3 linked regions of the Alligator mississippiensis genome follow. The protein of the gene in region 2 purifies or fractionates together with the protein of the main gene of each other region. This does not show direct contact. Links are inferred from orthologs where the notes say so. Each region holds a gene or a part of one and is shown on either strand. Other genes may lie near its edges.

Region 1 (7,854 bases), on a different chromosome or scaffold from region 2:
AAGGAAAGACAAAATACACAGTCAGCAGCAAGCAATCATATTCTGAAACAAAACAAAGTTACCTACAGATCCTCTTGGCTGTCTCAAAGAAGAAACACCACGTAGCTAAGGAATCAGAGATCTAAGTGCTCAGCAAGGTAGCAAGTTGGAGTGCACCTGGAGGTACCTGGCACAATCTTTGGTTTTATTTCGATGAAAGCATGCTTCATGCAAAATTACTACCAGGACAGTATGCAAGGGAGTAACAGAATATTTTGTCTGTAGGAAATCTTCAAACTGAACATATGTTCAATCAAAAAGCTGGGATACAGATTTTCCGCAACCAGCAACGCACAACTAAAAGACGAATCCAGAAATCAGAAAATTAGCTAGAATTTGAAATGCAATGGAGGGTTAAATAAAGATCAATGCATCTATACTTTACACTCAGACTTAACAGAATACCACATCAAACTCTGGAACACAGAAACTTTTAAGTGACAGTGGTCTAATATATATTAGGCATTGTACAGTGCCTATCACCATACTCTCCGTGAGTAATTTAGCGAATGAAACATTAACATTTCTTGGGCTACGTTTCTTGTCCATATGAACGTCCTCAATGGAGCGAGTTCAGCAAATTGAGTGAATAACAGCAATGTTCCCCAGGCAAGTTGGGTCACCTTGCTACATACTGTACAAATGCATAATAAGGAGGCAGCCCCTGCCTGCTACACACTGTACAAATACATAACAAAAGGGAAGCCCCTGCCCAAAGCCAGCTCACAATTTAAGAATAAGATAAAAGATACAGACAGACAAGGGACAACAGAGAAACAAGACTGGTCAGCTGTGTAAGGAAAAAGATGGGAACAAAGTAGCTACTTAACTCCCACTGGGTTCTCTGCAGATGACCTGGGAAAAGTGGTTGCCCTCATCCCAAGTACAGGCAACCCCTGCTTAGCGCTCTTAATTGGTTCCTGAAAAACTAAGCGTTAAGCGAAATCACAAGTATTTGATGACCCAAAATGGCAACCGCAACTGTTTTTAATGACCCCAAAACAGCGACCGTGAGCTTTATAATGAAACTCGCTGAGCACTAAGCAAAATCAGGTATCAATTTAAAATGAGCATTATAGCAAAACAGCACTAAGCAAAACAGCATTAAGCGGGGGTTGCCTGTAAACTATCCATTTAAGCTTATGATGGAGTGGGATGAAACCACCTCACAATTTACCATCCTAATTTGGCCTGCAGATAACCTACAGGAAGGAAACTCAAAGGACCTCTTTGAATATTTACCAAGATAAAGAATCATGTCCTTAACAAACATATTAAAAAATTAAGGACTTAGGAATTTGCACCTTTAAAAATATCTCCTTTATTGACACTGTTAGGAGAATAAGTTAAATAGATAACAGGCACAATCACCTAAATGAACAAGTGGACAGCCCAAGAATCACATGAACTCTCACTGACACTGCAAACACTTATTGCTGTCAGCGAGCCAGGAGTGTCTCACCTGTACCCTCTGCTGGTACTGCATATGCAAGGTATTTTGAGATGATCCTGGAGTGGCCAAGCCAGATGTCCCCTCCATGCGCTGTGAGATGAAGTTGTTGAGAGACCTCAAAGTGGAGAAGACAGTTGTATTATCTTCCAGGTTTTCCATGGCTCCCTGGAAACATACAAGTGAAACATTCAGGGCAAGTTACTCTCTACTCACTGCTGTTACAAAACGCATCCCCTTCCTGGGTTCCTATGGAGCCTAGAGCCTTCTCATTTACAGAGTGCAAAGCCAAAATTGTCAGCCACAGCTGAGATTCACAGGCCATTACTGGGGCCTCCGCTGATCCACAAAGCACCAAGAAAAAGCTTGTAGATTTGTGACATCAACTCAGACTACTACGGTACAACCCCTTACCTTACGTGGTTCTCAGTAGTATCATTTATTTCAACACATCTTTCCCCACAATTTTAACCCACTGGTCAGAAGGCACCACACACTGACACATTCAAAACTCCCCCTGCATTTAATTAGACTGGAGTTACGGGGCCACAATCTGTACCTTGGCACTTCCGCTGCTTGGGGAAGCAGCATCTATTTCCACAGTATTCATCCTACATAACACAGAGAAGAGCAGAAGGCAAATACTGGAGACAAGAATATCCTTGGAACGTAACATTGGCAAATAGAAAGCATTTCTAATGCTTCCTCTCAGTGCTTTTTAACTACAGACTGGGATAGGAGAGACCACCTGATCTGCATCCAAACTAGTAGTAAATATTGCCACCTAAATTATACTGGGCCCTAATGCCCATTTTCACAAAAGAATTTAAACCCTAACATTCGCTGACTTTCATTTAATCTGAGTTCCCCAAGTGCCTAAGTCACTTTCATAACGGAAATTTTGGCTCCTAACTCACTTACGTACCTTTGAAAACGTTACAAGTATAGGATAGGATGAAGATGTCAAAGGGCACGTTGACTTCGTTTGAAAATACCCTCAACGCTTCTCACAAATAAACTCGGCTCATAGCGTTCGCACAGGGCAACACGGTCCCAGCGACACCGGGCACACGCCGGCGGAGGAGCCCGCTGGGCTGCCCCAGCGCAGCGCTGCGGCGGGGGGCGTGGATCTTCCCAGCACCAGCGCCCCTTCGTGTTTCCAAATTAAAAAGCAGCAGAGAAAGTTTAGCAACTGCTGCTAAAAGCAGGCACGGGCGCAGCTGGGACGGAGGCGGGTATCACAGCCACTGGGGGGACACAGCGGCGCCCCCCCAACAGCGGGGTGAGGAGGGAGGGGGCTGGGCTCAGGCGTGCAGTGCACTACACTACACTGCATGGGTGTGGCTGCAGCGGGGGCACAGCAATGCAGTCACTGGGGGGCCATGCTAGGCACCGGGAGGGGGAGGGGGGGCACAGACGTGCAGTGCACTGAGGCAAGGCGCTGCACTGGCTCGCTGGGATGGCAGGAAGCCCCGCCCGGCCCGGCCCGGCCCCGCGCGCGCTCGCTCACCCGCCGCCACCGCCGTCTCCGGCTTGGATCTCCCTCCTCGGCCCGGCGCCGAGATCCCGCGAGAACTCGCCTACACCTCCCGCGAGATCTTGGCGCCCTCTACCGTAAAGCTGGGATGAGGATGTTCCGAGCGCTCTCCTACCGTAATACTGAGAGTATACGCGACTAATTCCCAAAGTGATCACTCTATAGAGGGAGGAGGAGCGGGGGGGGGGGGGTGTCCCTACAGCATCATACAAGGGAGATCAAACGCTTTTATTACAGGGAGACAAGGTTCCTTGGGTGAATTTGATATATTTTATCAGACCAACCCAAATGGTTGGAGAATAGTTATTAAGCAAGCTTTTGGGTTCAAAAACCCTTCCTTTATTACAGGGAAGAAGGCTGGATTGAATGAAGCACCGTAATGCAGGAGAGGAAGTCAAGCCTCCAGCTTGGCAGCAGAGGTCCCATGAGCCCAAGGGCAAGTCATTTGGCTGCTCAGATTGCATGCATTTGGTCCACGAGCGACTCTGACAAGCTCGTTGCTGTGACTGCAAGAAACCAGCCCTGCAACATGGAAACTTTCAGGCCACATGCATGCAATTGGGCAACGTAAATTTGGTAACAACAAAATAAAATGGGATTTAAGTCAGAAACATTAGGCAACCTTAAAAAAAAAAGTGGTGCTACCACCCCCAGCTTGAAGGCCCACTGACAGGGAGTGTAAAGAACAGATTGCTTGAGGATCAAAATAGTTATTTTCAAAAATAATTAAAAAAAAATAAATGAATAGGTGCAGAAATTATTCCAACAAACAAAATTCCAGCCACTACCAGACGGCAAAAATTTGCCAGTACCATTTTCCTTACTGGAGATTAATAACACCTTGCGTCATTGATCTAATAGGGGCCTTCCTATTAATAGGAGTGAAAATGACCTCATCCGTGGCACTGAACCTGTTCTATTGTAATACACTGGCAATCTGATGAAATAGCAGTTTCTAAATATAGTGTGACCATGGCACATGCATTGGTAATAACTCAGCACAACCATCAACTTGTAATATTCTGTGATCACAGTCATATATTCTGAATGCCCCATTACAGATTTACATGACAGTGCAGATTTTGAGATCCATTAAATGATTATGTATTTTCTAAATGTTCTAATAAATTGCAATAGCCTTCAGAAAAGATGAAGGGCACATAAAATTGGCTGGCAGTCCTCTTCCTTTTCACTCCCATTATGGCAACTGACTCGATGCTCCATTCCAAATATAACTAAAAAGATAATGTAGTAATTTTAAAACACACACATCAACAAAACTATAACCAGTGCTTTATTTTTCTTTCCATCACTCTATCCCTGTGGACTTTCATGCCACTGCATGCCATTCACAACAGCCTCCTCCCACGTCGGAGTAAGACTGGATGTTTTTGCTGGTATAATTAGAATAGCAGCTCAGTGAAGCAGCAACCTTGTCTTGCTTTGGATATCTATGGCACAATATAAATAATGGCAGATTCTCCCAAAGTAGGATTAACAAAAAAACCAAAACGTAAGAGTTTAAATGGATAATTCTTTAGGTCTACCCCAAGTCCCAGCGTCCAATCAATGACTGACAACCCATGCGAGAAAGGCAGACATAATCAGTTTTTCACAGTCTTTCTGTACCCTCTTGCCAAGTAATAGGATTCTGCAGATTCTTTCCTGCTGGCCTGAGGCTTTATAGTTCTTACGTTGCAGAAGTGCTCCATCAGCCTGCTTTGGAGAAGTTGGGCATCTCTTCCATTCCAGAATTTACAGAGCATGATCCCCCCTGGCTGCAAGATGCTTGAGGACATATCCAGAACAGATAAGCACAAGTTAATCAGTTTCTCATGATCTAGTTCTTGGATCCCTGTGGCATTAGGTGCCATGTCGCTCAGAATAACATCTGCTTTCCCTGAAGGAAGCAGCTCCTGGATCTTATTAAGCGTGCTTGGATCTGTCACGTCAGCATTGGAGAGGAAAACTGCTCCTTCCAGAGGGGCAATCCGCAGGAGGTCAACTCCAAGGACAAAGCCAACAGGGGCATTGGCATCTAGGAAACAAAATGTTAATGAAAGAATGAAAAACACAAGACAGGCCCCTGCTTTCAAACTGATCAAGGTTATTACAAATGCTGCTAATAATGCATGTATCCAGTAGCTCAGTACTCTATGTATAAACCTACATCATGTGTTGACAAAGTACAATCTACCTCATCCATGACCAATGTGCTGACCTGGTTAATCCACCAAGACCCAGTGACCTGGAATAAATATTTTTGTTTTAAAAAAATCTATATCCCAGAGTTTTAATCTATACCAGATATATCAGCAGCAGGGCAGTTCTGCACTCAGCCAATAACAACAAAACTTGCCCTATTACACCTTACAAACATTAACAAATTAAACCACAACACCCATGGGCATTTTTCAGAAACAAAAATAGAGGCAGAGAAGTTAAATTACCTGCTTGAGATCACAGACACAAATTGCCCTCAGGGATGGAGACAAAATCTCTTTCCCAGCCCTATTCTCTACCCTCTCAATGACCATCCCTTGTACTGTGGCTCAGTGTAAAAGTTTAGTCCCCCTTGCAATACATTTCTTCCCAGGTTTTTACTCCTTAGAGAAGGCGTCATGTGCTCATCCAAGGAAGTATTTCCTTTCTATTCCCAGCATGGCTACAAAAAATCTAAAGTTTGTAGTTGATTTAAATTTTATATAATTAAATTACTAAGCTGAGTACAAGACACACTGAAGTGCAACTAAACTATCTACACCATCCCTGATTCTACTGAAAGAAGACAATCTCCACAAACTCCAGGTCAAGTCAGCACTGTCTGCTACTTCCTTTGGTGTTGGAACTCAGATGACCCAGTCATCAATTGAGCCAAAATGTTTTTATTAAATCCAAAGGCCAACAGTAGTTGTACAGTGACTTTAAACAAACACTCTAACAAAACATTAACTGCATGTTAGACAGTGGTGTTACAATCCTCAGCAAAAATCGCACCCACACCATGAGATTACCATAAATATTGATCAAGTACCTGCAATAAGGCTATGCCCAAGGATCAGTAAAGGCTTATGCTGGCTGGTTCCAACACAGCTTCACTTGACATATGCAAAGACATCCTCTCTTGCAGTCTTTTATGTCCCTAGATTTCTCATCGCATCCTAACTAGAAACTTCACATGTATTTGCCTTTCCCACACACCAGTGAAAATTCCTTTGCCCATCTGCCCTAGATTTCTTAGGCATAATGTCTGCTATGGCAGGCTGGCATCATTTGGCCCATTCCTCTTTCTAGATTAAAATAGCTGTGGCCCTTTGTACTCCTTTTGGAGGACATTAGCATTTCCACTCTTCCAAGTGATTGCCTGTCTGACCTTTTGTCTTTTCCTCTCTCTCTCAACTACCGGATACCTGAAATTGCCAAGTCTGTATCTGGTGAAACATCCCATCACCTATGGCATTTCACTGCCTAATTCCTACATTTGGGAGCTAAGCTTGTGCACTTACCAGTGCCCAAAGCATTGACCCTCTGTATAGCAACCTGACTCCACGCCCCAGGAGCAGCTCCACAGTCTAGCACAGAAAGCCCTGGGCACAGAACCCGATGTTTATCATCAATCTCCAGCAGTTTGAAGGCACTTCGGCAACGATAATTCTGCTGTTTCACTGCCTTCACAAATGGGTCCTTCAAATGCCGTGCCAGCCAGCGGTGCTCTGTTCCAGTTCTGCTCTTCAGACATACCACTGCAGTGTGCAACCTCTGGCACAGAAGCAAAGGGCTTGTCCACCTCTGATAACTACGAAAAAAAGACAAGGAAACCAATTAGTGCATAGCCCCTGCAAGTTTGAGAACCCCACCTTTTCACATAATTAACTCCCATCTTGACTTTAGTCCTTCCAATTTATCACTACACTCATCTACAACACAGTCTTTTAAGAAGATGTACTGTTTTATTTTTGAGACTCTCGGGTCTGTACAGTTGATTCATATTTAGACACTATTTATACTGTGGCAGCACCAAAGTTTTGGGGGGGTTTTTTAACTTTTCTGTAGTCCAAGCCAAATTAGCCAAAACAAATCCCAAATCTGGGAGTCAGTCCAGAACCATAAGTGGCCCTACTACCAGCAAACATCTCCCACCCCCATCTGGGGCTTCAGATGTTTCCCAAACCTTTGGTGGGCATCCTACTTACAGGCCCAAGCCCAGAGGTTTGGGGTTCGGATGCCCTCCAATTTTGCTTGCCCTCAGCTGTAAAGCCCCAGGGGCAAGCCAGGGAGGAGTCTTCAGGAATCCCCATTACGGAGCCCATTCAGAACGCAAGAATTGCCATTTACAGGGTCAGACCATAGGTCCATCTTACCCAATCTCCTGTGTCACACAGGGGCAGAGAGGGGACACTGAAAGGGAGAGGGAACTGAGTGAGACCAGGGCTTTTTCCACTGTTCCTCTCCCACTTGCAGCCTTCAGCACTTAGGACACTTTTACCCCTTCCAGGGGGAGTGCTTTAATTAGAGTGGAGCCGCTCCACTTAAAGCATCACCATGTCTCATGTATCAGCGTCCCCATGCTTCAAAATGGCAGCAGGGGCACTTGAACTAAAGCTTGTTCAACAAGCTTTACATAAAGCGCTCGAGTGCCATTTTTAAGTGCAGGCACACTGATGCATGAGATGCAGGAGGCTGCTGCAGCACAGCAATTGCCACACTCCAGCAGACTCGATCAGGTCCGGGGGGGCTGGACCCGATGAGCTGCGAGGTGCCTTCCAGCCCCTAACATCTATGAATCTATAAGTCTGCTCTGACGTGCTCGAACCCCAGCGCATCGGGG
Region 2 (7,642 bases):
GCACTTTGTAGTTGAGCTTGGGTCGAAACCAGTCAATGCCACAGTCACGATGCCCTTGGACCATGACAGTGGTGCCCATGACAGGGAGAGCCTGTAATTCACTGAAGACATCTGCAAGGAAGAGCGAGTGGAAGAGCTTACGAACACAGGATGGTGTTTGCAGGCTCTCCTCAGCATTACCCACACAGATGCCCTCCAAGTTGATCTCATAGAGCTCCTTAGGATTCATGGCATTGCCTCCAAGCAGGATAAGGATCCGGGGGACTAGCGTCAGGTGGAACATGGCTTCCAAATGCTGGAACAGCCCCTCCAGATCCACTAACGCCTGCTGACACTTTTTGCTGCCCAAGTCTGTGGAATGCAGCTTCTTAATCACATCTTCAACCTGAAAGAAAGATTTTGGTAATTCTGAGCAAGTGGCGGGAAATCTTTGTTAATGTCTGTTTGAAAATTAAAAAAAAGCATGCCCACTCCTTACTTCTTAGGGGGTCTTCAGAAAGTTTAAGTTCTTATTAAAAAAGGGAGTACAGGCAGCTTTGTTTAAAATTGGCCATATCAAAGACAAGAGCTGCTTTGCACTGCAGCTAACCTATTGTGTAACACACACATTCTACAATATTCTCTAATTCAAAATCTGGGGTCCCTATTATACAGGGATCACTACTATATCTGTTCTTTCAAAAGACTGCTTTTTTTTTTTTTAAAGCAGACAAAAAGGAAACATTTTCTATTAATTCAAACTGCAAAGCGTAATTCTGGTTGTGAACCAGAAGACCTGACGGTGGATTATTTTTTGTCAGAATAGAAAAATGCATTAAGGTAAATGATATCCCCCCTCCCCCATTTTAAATAAAAATATACCGTTTTTCCAGTTAGATTCTCTTAAAAATGGATTATTTTTAAAATACACTTCAAGTTATAACAGCCCATATCAAAGCCAAGCTTTACTCTACTCTATTAAGTCATTTAGAAAAGTGTTCAAGCAGTATTTTTCCTACCAAGTGACACTGAATTGGAGGAAGTCACTGGCTAAGCATCTTTAACCAGAATATACTGAAGTACTAAAGCATCTTCAACAGCAGTAGCTTTTTCTGCAGGCACAGAGAAGTGATTCCCTTCTTGTCAGGATTGTTAGTTGAATTCAAAGATAAGAAAGAAGTTGAGAATTTATAAACCTAGAAATCTTGTTTTCCTCTTTTGATTAATGAATAAAAAGTGAAATGAGAGGAGAGAATTCTGCTAGTTCTAAAACCCTGAAAGACGAGTTGAAGTAATTTGTTCCTGGTCATTACAGGTACTTCCTCCATTTATTAAAAAGCCTTTTAAAAAGGCACGTTACAACAGCTTGTCTTTTTAAACTAACAAATTTTAAAATGTTTTGTTTACCTTCATTGGTGCAGCTTGGTACGATTAAAGAAAGAAATTCTTTACTTGCCATTTTTTAAATTAAAAAAAAATTAAAAATCCAAAAAAGCATATGTCAAGCCATCTAACTAAATACAGAGAGATGGGATGAATCCTCACTAGCAAAAATGTTTTGTTTTAAAACCTCAACTACTGATGCAAATAAAGGATTCAAATCTATCCACTCTAGATCAATGATGTTTGGATGCCTTCCTTGGCTTTTCCGGGAAAGCAGCAGAGATTTCACTATAATTAAAAGCTGTTATGCTCACAAGGTCAGATATCTGGGTTACTAATAAAAGTACAGAAGACCCTTGCCATTTGTGGGGGATACTTTCTGGATATCCCCACTAATAGCAAAACCCGCAAATATAGCACTGCATTCATGAATGGCGCGTGCCCCCTCGGGGGGGGAGGGGAGGAGGAGGCACAGCTGCACTGATGACAGCGGGAGCGCGGCAGCAGGAGCAAGCACAGAGCTCCCAAGGGTTTCCTGTAAGTGTATTTAAGATACAGGTTCAGCATTTGCACTGTAATAAGGTGAATACTCGGTGTACCACAAATATTTGAAACCACAAACAGCGAGAGTTTCTTGTATCCTCTTGAGGGCACAGCGTCCTCAGAGGATAGGACATGCCTCAAATACAACCCCATGGGTGTTTTATGCTGCTAACTAACAAAGCTTGAAACAATCTGAAAAAGGAGGAGAGCATCTTGATACAAGACACAGCACTAAGTGCTCTCAGAGCAGCACAAGGCAGCTGGGCCTCTGACAGGTGCCAGCACCCTGGAGGGGAGAGGAGCAGAGCACAGGAGAGTCAAGCCTCTGGGCTTTTTCATCCCAAGTTTCTTCAGGATCCAAGCCCCTTCCTTTGCCTCAGCCCTGGAAAGCGATTACCTCGGACAAAGCAACCACCAAGTCATGAAAATCTTGCAAGACCTGACAGCACTAGTCTCCAAGGGCCCTCCTACACATTCAAACAAAAGCCAGATAGAAACCTAAGATTCATGACCCATTTCTAAGCACTAACTTGACAGCAGGCAAGGCAGCTCTTGGCATAAGCTGGAGAGTCCTACGGTGGGTGGGATAACAGCTTTGCATCAGGAGACCATCTGTATTTAGGGGGCGAGTCACCAACAGAATCATGCAATAGATGCAACAGGCCCCAGGGGCCTCTGCCTCACCCGGACAGCAATCCTACAGCCCTGGTTTATATGGAGGCGGGGGGGGGGGGCGCGCGCCTGTGTCCGTGTCTGTCCGTCCATCTGTGTGCGAGCCCGTGCGGCAGGGGGGAAGGGGGGCACTCACCGGCGGGGGCGGCGCGGCGCGGGGGCGGCGGCAGAAGTGGGCCAGCTGCTCGTAGGGCAGGGGCAGCTGGTGGCGCTGGTGCAGCACGTGCTTGAGCAGCTCGCAGGCGAAGCGGCAGCAGCCTTCGCGCGTCACCACACCCGGGAACACCACCGACACCGGACCCGGCTCGCCCGCAAGGGGCAGAGAGACGTCACCGTCACGGGGCCGCCCCGCGCCGCCCGGCACCGCCATTTCCTGGCCGCCGCCGGCCCCAGCCACCGATTTGAATGGCCGCCGCCCCGAGGCATCATGGGAGCCGCGGCCCTTCCGCTTCCCGACGGAAAGGAGTGGGCGGCCGCCATCTTGGTGCGGGGTTTAGCATTAATGAAAGTTGGAGAGAAACCAGCTCCGGCTGCCTTGACACACGTGATGCTTATTGCGTGGTCAAGCGCTCAGTAGGTGTACCCTAGCCATACCGGCCAAGCATCGGCACCGACTTTTAATTTCACCGTGGGGTGGCAGGATTGCCAACTCTCAGGGTTTTTGACGTTGTTGTTAAAGTCGATGCTTCAGGAATGTGAAAAACAGAGCTTTCTTTTAGCCATATATATAAATGTCCATAGAAGAAAGAGCCACGTTTTTCACCTTTCTGAATGCAGTGCCAAAAATCATGAGCGCTGGCAATGGTGGGGTGGGCCAAAGAGGATAGGCTCGTGGAAAGTTTTACACATTTCAGCCCTCTTCCCCAGGGGTCCAGGGCCCGTGGCCCCCACACTCAGTGCCTCTGGTGCCAAGTCATTAGCTTGTGAGAAAAATGACCCTCTGGCTGTAGAAGAAGCCAACCAGCTATCCAGTTAGTGCTTGGAAATGGGCCCCCAGTCCATGCCGGTTGCTGTCCAGCTCTCGTTCCAACCCATAGCAGGGCCCTAATAGAATGATGACACATTTCCAAGCACTGACTTGTAGAGCTGGTTGGCTCCTTTTATAACTGGAGTCATGCTTATCCGGTGGTAATGATTTTGCATGTGTGGCCAGTTGACATTTGTTGCACAATTCGTGTTAATGGTGTGATAAATCCTTTGCACTTATGGCCTGCCTTAAGTGCAAGGGCCAGCCTGAATGTATTGTGTGATTCACCTGTTAATTGTGCAATATAGGTAATGTGTAGCAGGGGCCTTAGAGGAGCTGCCGAGTGGACATGGACATTTAAAAAGCAAAAAACCCCAAATGGTAGGTTAGAGGATGCTCCACTTGTAACCTCTAAGATATTGCAAATCACAGACCAAAACAACACTGGCCCTGAATCTTTCACAGGGCTACTCTCCAGGTACAAAGGTTGTCTGCAGAAAAGATGTCATTGTGGACCCCGCTTGCTGTGCTTAGTGAAACCCCCTGACTAAACTGACCATAAGGAAATGCTGGACATCATCTGGGAAATCTGGGACACTGCCCCTCCTCGTGCTCTCACAAGTTGGCAGGGGCGAGTCACCATGCCAGCAATGACTGCCCACCTGCAAATCACTCCATGCCACCCCAACTCCTACCCAGACTGCGTTCCAAGCCCCTGTGTTTCTGGGACACCCATTTCTCAACAGCCAGTCAAGACCAGCCCCTGAAATCTGGGACTGTCCCAGCTACAATTGGACATATGGTCACCCTACTCATCACCTTTTGCCTTCATCTGTGGTGTGGCCAAATGCAGTTTTTGCTCGTGCCAGGGTTAAAAGGTATTGGACTAAGTCATTGTGCCTAGATTCAGTGGGCGAAGAAACACAAGTGGAGACTAGGATTGTATTATATGGCTTTCACTGAGGTGTGTTTGGGTCTTCTGTGGACTCCTGGCCTGGTGCTAAGCATGTGGGGGCCCAAGGGCCCTGGCCCCCTAATGAAGAAGTCTGTCACCTGCATAAAACTTTTCACCATCAGATGTCCATCATCTTAGCGCTCCCACCCTCAGCAAAAATAAATTTAGCACCTGTGTTCCTGCCTATAAAAAATATGTTGTGAGACTTAAAATCCATGTGTAGCCATGTGGCTAAGGATGAGAGGATCTAGGCAGGACCCCTGGATTCTGCAGCCATCTCTTACCTATGCATGGATCTTCCTGCTACGTACTTCCTCTCATTGTCTCTGTTTTCATCCCTCTCATTATTTTAATTAGTTGTGGCAATTATGGTGCTAGTATCTTACAAGATACAGCTGGAATGTTGCAGTCATGAGAGTGACATGCCGTTTTTGTGCCTGGGCTGCTGTCGCACGCAACAGCTGACTCCACTTGAGCTGTGCCTAAACAGGGGCGGAGACTTCTGATCTTCCTCCCTGGGGCAGACAGGTTACCACCAACCGTAATAGATCAGTCCTGGAGGAGGAGGAGAAAAACTGCAATGAGAGGGTGTGGTTGCAGTCAGCTGTGTTTGCAAACAAAGCATGTCTCCAGCCTCCTTGGGCATGATCTTCAAGGTAAAAGGAGGGGGAAAGGGAACGAGTCCACATGTCACAGCCTGATGGGAGCTGTAGTTCAGTAGCTCCTGCGCGGTTGTGTGAGACTATTTCTAGCCCTGTCAGCAACACCCCAAGAAGTGCTGTGCAAACACTAATTAAAAGAGTATTGCCAGGGCAGCAGATACTTGTCCTCCCTGTTTGGCAGCTGAAAAAATGAGACCTGCTGAAATCCAATCCAAGCAGTAGCCAGGCCAAGTGATATGACTGAGGCCCCACTGTGAGTCAGTGGCAGAGGCAAGGGTTGGCAGAGATGCCAGGACATTCTTGGCCCCAAACCTTTCGCCTGGAGTATGAAACCCTCTCGTGACCATGAAGTGCCTATGTTCAGAGTCTGCCTGAGCTGTGTCCCTCTGTATTTCCACACGGCCATGAATGAAGCTGAAGCTGTGGGAGAAACCAATCAGGACTCGTAGTAGAGATGATATCCTTTATTAGACCAACAAGATTTTTGCAGAGAAAAAATCTTTAATTGCAAAAATCTTGTTGGTCTAATAAAAGATATCATCTCTACTACGAGTCCTCGTTGCTTTTTCCTCTAGACTAATACGGCTACAACCTGGATACCTGAAGCTGTGGGATGCGTGCAGGGCCTGAGGTGCGGCACGGCTCTGCCACTCAAAGCATACTCTCCTCACCACCCAGGAGCCTGAGTAGCCGGGCAAGTGGGCAAAAGGTCAGCTAGTACCTGCCTGCTTCCTTCCACCCCGGAACTACATCTCCCATCAGACCCCTGGCGCAGCGGGTGCCGCCTTACAGGGGGCCTGGGTGCCCGGGGCATGCTGGGAACTGTAGGCCCGCCAGAGCCGCTGCCTCAGAGGGGCTGCTGGGGGGTGCCGGGAGCGACCACTCCGGACTGCTGCTCCCGCGGGGCCCGCCGGGAGCGGTGGCGGCAGAGGGCCGCGCGGGGCATGCCGGGAGGTGTAGTCCGGAGGGGAAGGTGTTGCGGATTCGGTGTCCCGTGATGCCCTGCGGCTGTTTCTGACGCCAGGGCCCGGGTGGGCCGGGCCGGGCAGTGCAGTGCGTCGCGGGCCGGGACCGTGACCGGGGCCGGGGCAGGATGGACTCGCGCGTGTCGGAGCTGTTCGGCGGCTGCTGCCGGGCGGCGGCGCCGGGGGGCGGCGGGGGAGCCCTGCGCGGGCGCGGTGGCCTCGGCGGCGGCTGCAAGGCGAAGAAGAAGGGCGGGCGCGGCCGGGGCGGCAAGGCCAACAACCCGCCCTACCTGCCGCCCGAGGTACGTGCGGGCCGGCCCTGCGTGTGCTTCCGCGCGTACGCGTGTGTGTGCCCATGTGTGTACGTGCGCTTCTGCGTGGCTGTGCCCCTTGGGTGGACGTGTACACGCCTGTAGCTCTGTGCTTGCTTGTACGTGTGTGCGTGTACATACATATGTGCGTGCACTTTTGTGTGTGCATACTTCTGTGTGTATGCGGCCATGTGCGTGTACTTTTATGTGCGCATACACATGTAGGTGGATGTCTGTGCATGTGCACACTTGTATGTGTGATACAGGCATGCACGCGTACAGGCGTGCACACATTTCTGTGGGCACAGGGTTGTACGTGTGTGCATGCATGTGCCTCTGTGTGTACAGGCACCGCTATGTGTACATGCATGTACATCTACGTGTGTGCATGTGTCTGCACTTGTACACATGCACATAAGTCATTTGCAGCTTCGTGGGGGTGGCATCCCCCCTGGCTGATTCTGGGCAGTGCCCTGAAAGCAGTGGGCAAGCAGAGGGAGCAGGGGCCCTGGCAGCGATGCAAGACGTGATGAGGTGGCGGAGGCGTTATCCCTAGCTGGGGCAGGCCGCACAGGGAAGGGTTGGCCTCAGCTGAGAGGTGGCCGCCTAAGCGGTAGATCTCTGCAGAGAAAGAGTTTGCCCCACCATGCCCATGACCTCTGTCTCTTCTAGCCTCTCTCCCCTCAGCTCCAGTCCTGGGAGCATGGAGGACTGAGGTGGATGGTTTTCTCAATTAACCAGGCTGGAAGCAGTCCCTGCAAGTTGGCTCAGTTGCCATGATTGTGGTGGGATGTGTTAAGATGCAGTTCCATGCTGCCTGAATTGTGGCTTGGCCCCTTGGGGAGGGGGGCACTGGGCTCACCCCCCCCCCCCCCCGCCACCCTCACCCCGGTGGGGTCTGAGACAGCCCTGCTCCTTGACCTGCCTGACCTAAAGATGCCCTGCCGGGAGGGTGCAGACATCAGCACAGCAGTGCTTGGCCTCCTGTCAGCAGGTGGAAAAACCTTATAGCCTCATAGTTACTGGGTTGCATAAGGATGAGTGTTGTTCCTTATGCAACCCTGAATGCCCTGTTCCCATCTCTTGTGGATATCTCATCTGCCAGATTGCGTGGGAACATACCCCTAGCTCCTAGGCCCACATTCCTGGCTCAGCAGGCTCCAGCAGCTCCACCCCCTCTAGTCTAATGGGATTCTCTCTATATT
Region 3 (7,399 bases), about 12 Mb from region 2:
CCTTGGTCATTTGTCTCCCCATCGCTCATCTTCCTAGAGCTAGTTCCCCAGACTGTGGGGGATATCCAGAAAAAATAAAAACAGATTTGTCGTAAGAATATAATCTTATTTAAGAATTATATTTGAGTTTAAAATCATGCATTTCAAGCAGCAAGCTCACCATAAACTAACAATTTAAGTATACAGCTCTGAAATGTTTCAGTAAAGCAGGAGGTATCAATTATTGTGGCCTACACATGTATACTGGGTACTCTTTATCTATAACTGCATATCTATGACATTTTATTCAACATGCTTCAAGGCATGTTTTTGTCACCAGATCCCCCAATATTCAGTAAATGGGTTCCTCAGGCTGTTCTAAAAGAACTGTTAACTGACTTCACATACTCAAAGTCCAATTTATTTGAATGTATAAGGCTGATTTTCTGCATTTCCCTACCACTCAACCATTTCAATGAGAGTTCAGAAACCAAAGCTGATGATAACTCAAAAAGATTGAGTAATGCTTGACTAAGCTGTGGATGCTCCATAAATTGAGCACAATCTAAAGTTTCAGACCCAGTTAGAAGGAAAAACTGTCACCGAGTTGCTGGCTGACCTATTAGTGAAGTAACCCAGAGACAATGAAGTCCCACATAAGAGGACACCTTTTGCCCTCCCTTGGACAAGTTGTTAATGGTTACACTTTACACTAGTCAGGATAGAAAGCGACAGGAAAACACTAGCTTGCAGTTTTCAATGCAAGAGCCCTACCAACAAAATTATATTCATAAGCAGCTAAAGTTTTACTGCAACACTGCTGCTCTGGAGTGATGAAGGAGCTACAACCCCTTCTCCACAAGAACACTGAAAATGCTTCCAAAAATACTGACCTCCCTCACTATTCTTCAATAGCCCATCTCTCTAACAGGACAGATGTATACAACTAAAAGGAGAAAAAAATAACCTAAAGAAATAGCCACTCCTGTCTAAAAGAGTTGGGAAGTACTCCAAAGGAACCCCCTTAGAGTTTGGAGGCCAAACTCTGAAGAGCTGAACACTGATGCATCATGCTGTGCGCCAGAAAAGGAAGCCATCTGCACATAAGAAAAGGCAAATAAAAGCACAGGGATAAGGAGAAAATTGCCAACTGTTCTACCAGATATAGCTACTGACATCTAAGGGAGAACTTCTGCATTCATTCAATGAGAACAAGCTATAAAGAACAATTTTAGGATCATTGTTATTTATATAACTTATCTGACCACTTATCTTACAAAAGCAATGCACTCACTGGCATTTACCATCATGTGAACATCACTTGACTAAACAGTAAACCAATGTAGTTAGAGCTTCAGCATTCAAAGCATTTCCCCCGCGCTACTGCTCTAACTGTTGCTGGTACTAGTGGAGTTGCACTTGTATATGCACTTGCTCCGTGTGTTCTCTGGTGACTGATCTTCACACTGTACTTTGTATTTTAGAAAGTGGCACTTTCAGAACAGGAACCATGCCCCACAGGCTGCACAGTAAGATGCAGTCCAAGTGCGACTTAAAAGCAAATAAGTAATACTGTATCCATCCTTTAGAAAGAAAAAAGCTTTTTCTAATACTAAATTCATAACACAAAGGGACTCTCACATCCCGCTCTTTAAACAGTCACCAGGTACTGTGAAGAATCTAGTTCATTTCAAAGCTGGACACATCTAAGTTTTTGTAGGACTGGGGGGCTTAGTAGTAAACAATCATCCATTCCATGCCAGCATCAAATGAAGGCTAGAAAAACTACAGACCTGATCATGACAGCAGCCTACTGCTTTCCACAATTACAGTATGGTATTATTTATGCAATGTCAAAAATGTGCTCATTAGAGATTCAATAAGGCACAACTTTAAAAAAAAAACAAACCCCAAGCAATGAACTTTTTTTAAATTTCTGCTCAGAACAGTAGAATACTCTTTTAATATTATTAAGTCAGATTATAAATGTTTATATATCCACCAAAAACTTTAAAAGGCACGTGGCAAAAAACAACATTTTTACTGGAATGCCAAATCTCTTTTGCTTGTAAATATGGACAGATGAACCAGTCTGGTAAAGGCATGACTAACATGCAAGGAGTCAGCAAAGATTCTCTGATGCAAACCACACAGAAAGACATGTTAACATCTGGCAAGAAATAAAGCAGCGAGGACTTCTTCAAGTGATTTCCGTTATAGGACCAACTATGTAGTTGGGACAGTCAGACTAGCTTCCTAATGCATCACCTGCGATGAGTATTATTTACTACTCAGCCCCAATTCTATAAAAACAAAGCTGTGCCCAACTTTGACACAGACTACATCATTCCCAGCACACGAGGACTGTTTAAAGAGTCTTCACCAGGAGACCTGGGACAAAGTTGGGAGACCCGAGGAAGAACGCCTTGCACTCGCAAGCCTGTCCGACTCTGGGCCCTACTACACCTGCCAATTACAGCTAGATAAAAACCTGCTACGCAACAACTTTAGAGTTGGTTGGCACTTTTTAAAGATAGCGAAGAGTCCTTTTGATTGTGGGATCCTTACTTGGCACCCGTGGCTAGCCTCAATGTATTACACAATTCACCAGTTATACAAAACCATAGAAAATGGAAGGGACAAAACCTCAGGAGGTCACGTCTAATCCAACTCCCTTGCTGGCAGCAGGGCGATCCCCAGCTACATCATCCCAGGCAAGGCTTCGTCCAGCTCTTCCCCCCACCCCCCTCGGGGGGGGACTGCCCCTCCCCCCGGGCTGCGGCGCCGAAAGGGCCGAACAAAGCGGGCGGGGAGCGGAGCCCCGGGCGGGGCGGGGGAGGAGGCGGCCGAGGCCCGGCCCCCGGGACGGGGAGCAGCGCCTGAGCGCGGCGCAGGCCGCAGAGGGCAGAGGGAGGCGATTGGCCGCTCCCCCCTGCCGGGAGGCGGGGGTAGGGGTAGGGTTAGGGGTGGGGGCGAGGAAGGGGAGGGGAGCCGAGCCCGCCGCTCACCTGCGCCGCCGCCACCTGCGCGAGAAGCCCGAGCCGGAGCCGGCGGAGCGCGCGCCCAGCAGCACCAAACAACCAACCGCCCAGAGCGACGGTTAGGGACGCGCGCGACGTCCCAGGCCCGGCCCCGCCCTCCCCGCGGGCCGCCCGGCGCCAAGCGCCGCTATTGGCCCACGCGCCGGTTTGAATAGCTCGGCGCGGCACGGGATTGGCTAGCAGCCGGGGCCGAGGGACGGGATTGGCTGAGAGGAGGTGGCGCGTTCCACCCTCTCCCGGCCCCCGCCTGCCCCGCCCCCGCTGTCCCGGTCGCAGCTCGCGCGCCCGCAGCTTGCCCTGGTCCGCGCGCACGCTCGGGATTCCAGCCCGGGGAGCCGGGCGGGGTGGGGGGCTGGTTGAGGAGGGGAACCGCGGGGAGCAGAAAGCAGAGCAGCCGAACGGGCGAGGAGCGGATAGAGCAGCAGATGGGGCAGAGGGAGACAATTGGTCGCTCCCCCGATCCAGGAAGCGGATAGAGCGGCAGACAGGCAGGGAGCAGATGGCAGAGCAGCAGACGATGTAGAAAGCAGGGCAGCAGAGCAGATGAGGCAGGGGAGTAGCAGAGGAGGCAGTGTGTAGAAAGCAGGACAGCAGACAAGGCAGGAAGCAGCAGGTCACATGGGGCAGGGGAGCAGATAGAGCAGCAGAAGGGGCAGGGAGAAGATAGCAGAGCAGAGGGGTGAAGGGGATGGGAGGAGCACTTGGGAAGGACGTGGGGCTAACCTGCCAGATAGCCTAACCCCACTGGATGCAGAACCGAAGAGGCCTTACCTAAATCAACCAGGCAGTCACCCAGGGCTTTTTTTGACCTTAAGTTAAACAAGCAAACAGGAAACGAGTGGCAGTATGGTAACAAGCACAAACCACAGCTGAGGTTAGAGCCTGGATCAACAACACTATCTTGTTAAGACTGGAGGCAGCCCTCTGTAACTTTTGTGAATCGGGTGGCAACCCATTTGAAAAAACGAATGTACTTATTGAGTGCTTACCTCCTCAAAGTGGATGGAGGAGCAGCCAGGCAGGGAGAGCATGAGCCTGCCTTTATCTGCATATCACCTCAAAGGATCTGGCAGCAGTCTGGCTGAGAATCACTGTCCTGGTTGGTGGCCAGAAATTTCCCACAACTTTTACATTTAAAGACGTTTGTATTAGAAACACCTGATTCCTGCCTATACTCCAACTACAGATGTTTCATTTGATGGCAGCAACATTGACAGCATAGGCAAGACGGCATCAAATAACCCAGTACTTCTGTCTGTAGGCTCACGGGCCAACTAACAAAATATTTAGTCCCTATGCCCAGACTACATTTTGAGATTTCCCATTTTAACAATAATAACTAGCAAAGACCCAAACTAGGTGGTAAATGCAGGCCAATCCATGAGTTGTTTTTAAAAATTAAGATCAAAGCCTTGGTATTTGACCCAGCCTCCAAGGAACAGACAGTTAAAACATGGAAATAAATAATCATTTCCATCTTCAAAAAGAAATGAAATAAGCTTCTTTCTTTCTCTTGCTTTTATGGGTGAGGGTGGTCACATATAGGCATGGTACATTGAGAACTATAGTTATAGTTTCATTTTAAGACATTTTTGCTAAGTACATATAACTAATAAAAACATTAAAACTTTTTGCCCTAGGATCAAAAATTATTTCTATAAAAGGTAAAGTAACCTTTTAAAAAACAATATTACAAGCTAAAAGAGAATACTTGGGGCCCATCTCACTCCACAGAGCACAAACATCTTTGAATGAAACACAGTGGATTATACTAAACATTATTAAATAAGGAATACAATTATAAATACAATTTATTAAAAATTTACAATAATGTTTTGGTCCCCTTTACCACAGCTTTACCACAAGAGTACATTAAAGTAACTAGAAAATTTTGTAATCAGGAAGCCTAAACAATGTTGTTTTTTTTAATCATCTCTGCAGAAGTACATTGTGAAAAAGACAGCAAAATGTACTGGGTAACTTGCATTTTATTTATTACCAGTAATTAAGCAACTCTCTCTCACACACATGCACACACACTTCTGCCTTTAAATTGAATTAAAATGCTGTTCCAAGTATTTGCAGAAAACCCTAAGTCCTTTCTGCATCTAGAAATATTGCAATCAACTGCACTGGAAGCTCTGCTCCTTTGACTTTCTAGAGAGTTTAAGACACTTGTCTGGGCTCACATGGAGTCCATTCTCTAGCCTAACCAATATTTTACCTCTATAGCCAGACTGCCAAGGAGGCTACACTTTTAATTTTACTTATTTAGTTTATGCACACAAACAGTAGTGCCAATTTCAGTCATCCGAAACAAGGAGCTAGGCTTCCAAGTAATTAAGTCAGGTTTAAAAAAAAATAAATAAAAAATCAGAGATTCACTTTCTGACTTGGTCTTTATTTTTTTACATGTTGAAGTTTACATTTAAAAAAAAAACCACACAAATCAAGATTCTAACCTAATCTAACAAATCTTGGATGCTGGAGTTTTACAAAATACAGAAAATAGACACAATAACAAAACACATGATAAAAATCCTGAAAATTAGCAAAAATGACACACCAAACTTCATTGAGACATGCCATTAGGAACAAAGTAGTATAGTATAAGTGTCATGTTGCAAATATTATAGTTGATACATAATTCAACACTTTTACTCCCCTGCCAATAAACCATACCTACATCCCATAAAAAACAGTATATATGTGCAACTGACAAATCAACATTTAAAGTTGCCCCTTTGACTATACAAATTAATTTTGCATTGTATGAGCTATATGCTTAATACCCAATATGCTGTGTGATTATTGTAGTTGAACACAAAATAATTCCTTTTAAACTCAAAGAGTTGATAGAAAAAGTTTACTTTTACAAATATTCACACTAGTAAAGTTTGGATTCTTTAGCACTAACAGAAAGTAAATACAGAGGTCATACTCACTTTCATATTCAAATTTATATTCAGAGAAGTTTTCTACTTTCCAGGCCTCCAGTTCTATGAAAACCTAGGTGCAAACAGTACTACATTAGAATAGTGAATTAATATTTTCGTTATCAGATCATCCTATGCATCACTTTATTTTCTAATACCTATGCTTTAAATTAAAATCAGTCACACTACAGAACTACAGTAGTGTCACAGAACTGTCAGAATACAGGTTTTTAAACAAAGCCGTTAGAATTTTGGGGTTTTAATCCTATTAAGATATTATTCTTTTTCAGTTTCATTAGATACCATGTAACTGCACAGAACAGTGCAACTGCAGCACATTTCTGACCTCAAGTGGAGATTTTATTTCTGAACTGTTCATTCTTTTTCCTCTATAAATCAGCTATGGAGAGTTTATTTTCAATAGGACATCTTGTACTTTTTAACAAATGTAAGCCTTGGAGGGAACCAGCTTAATCTTACTAGTAAGGCATACACTTAATGTTAAATGTGGAGATTTCCAGTTCCAATCTCATTTGGAGAATAAATGTTTCAAAGTAAGTCTTTTAGAGACTTGTCAGACCTGGAGTAGAGAACTAGTCCTCTGGCAGAATTTTCATTCAATTCTATGTTGTCAATTAACCTGCTGATATAGATGTTAAATAGTTATTTCAAAGAGTTAAAGGGACATCAAGAACTTGACATCTTGCAAGTCAGAGCAACTAACACACTTTTCCCTGAACCCCACTGCAAATGTATATGGTTTTACATTCATATGTTTTTTTAGGTTTCTCTTGTTCTTTCTCCTGTTGCTATGTAAACGATTGTGCAAATCACAAAACCTGTTTGGGAAAATCAACAGACTGAAACAAAGTTTTTCCACCTTCAGTCTTTAACTTTGATATTTTCAGGTATTAATTGCAGGTAAACATTTTTAGACAGACATGACTGTGTCAATGTCCCCAGTCTGATTCTGCAAGGTGCCAAAAGTACTTTCACAGCCCATGCTTCCAAAGCAGCATCGCCTCTGACAGTTTCTCCTATGCCTTCCCTAGCCCATGAACAACTACTCAGTATTTGGAGGGAACCCACCTACAGTGTTGAGCTGGTGATCATTAACCATGAGAGTGCCCCACAGTTGAGGGGATAGACGGAAACAGAACAGAAAGTAGGCTGTTTCTCCATCCTTCTGCAAGGGCAAGGGAAATGCCTCTACAGAAGAATGCGTTAAAAGTAAAGTAGAAACAATGGATCCTAAAATCTCCCCATGCAGTTTGCCAAAGGCTGCGCCTGAGGGTAAAGAGGAAATGCTGAAGTGGTGGGCTATGTCAGGAATTTCATGTGGTTGTTACATCTGTGTTCTGAGGCTGCACTGGTTTCCTGTCCACATCTAACTGCAATTCAACATTTTGTTTGTAATTTGTAAAACTCTACAAAAAGGGGATC

The links.
Region 1: the proteins of MAD2L1BP (region 2) and MAD1L1 purify together in Homo sapiens (co-immunoprecipitation; 4 studies listed by BioGRID and IntAct, with this or other methods). This does not show direct contact. The link is inferred for Alligator mississippiensis from reciprocal best matches to the Homo sapiens genes MAD2L1BP and MAD1L1.
Region 3: the proteins of MAD2L1BP (region 2) and LBR purify together in Homo sapiens (co-immunoprecipitation; 3 studies listed by BioGRID and IntAct, counting the BioPlex papers as one, with this or other methods). This does not show direct contact. The link is inferred for Alligator mississippiensis from reciprocal best matches to the Homo sapiens genes MAD2L1BP and LBR.

The regions. Positions count from the first base shown.
Region 1 is NC_081836.1:51,118,619-51,126,472, forward strand, and holds the start of MAD1L1 (mitotic spindle assembly checkpoint protein MAD1), read right to left. Parts: upstream 3,086-7,854; 5' UTR 3,000-3,085; intron 2,962-2,999; exon of another isoform or gene 2,415-2,961; intron 1,658-2,414; 5' UTR 1,652-1,657; coding exon 1,502-1,651; intron 1-1,501. Other genes in the region: MRM2 (rRNA methyltransferase 2, mitochondrial), read right to left, coding at 4,631-5,064, 6,533-6,822. UniProt on the Homo sapiens protein: Component of the spindle-assembly checkpoint that prevents the onset of anaphase until all chromosomes are properly aligned at the metaphase plate.
Region 2 is NC_081824.1:168,617,784-168,625,425, reverse strand, and holds the start of MAD2L1BP (MAD2L1-binding protein), read right to left. Parts: upstream 3,063-7,642; 5' UTR 2,948-3,062; coding exon 2,714-2,947; intron 386-2,713; coding exon 1-385. Other genes in the region: GTPBP2 (GTP-binding protein 2), read left to right, coding at 6,255-6,428. UniProt on the Homo sapiens protein: May function to silence the spindle checkpoint and allow mitosis to proceed through anaphase by binding MAD2L1 after it has become dissociated from the MAD2L1-CDC20 complex.
Region 3 is NC_081824.1:180,570,267-180,577,665, reverse strand, and holds the start of LBR (delta(14)-sterol reductase LBR), read right to left. Parts: upstream 3,097-7,399; 5' UTR 2,988-3,096; intron 2,702-2,987; exon of another isoform or gene 2,626-2,701; intron 1-2,625. UniProt on the Homo sapiens protein: Catalyzes the reduction of the C14-unsaturated bond of lanosterol, as part of the metabolic pathway leading to cholesterol biosynthesis.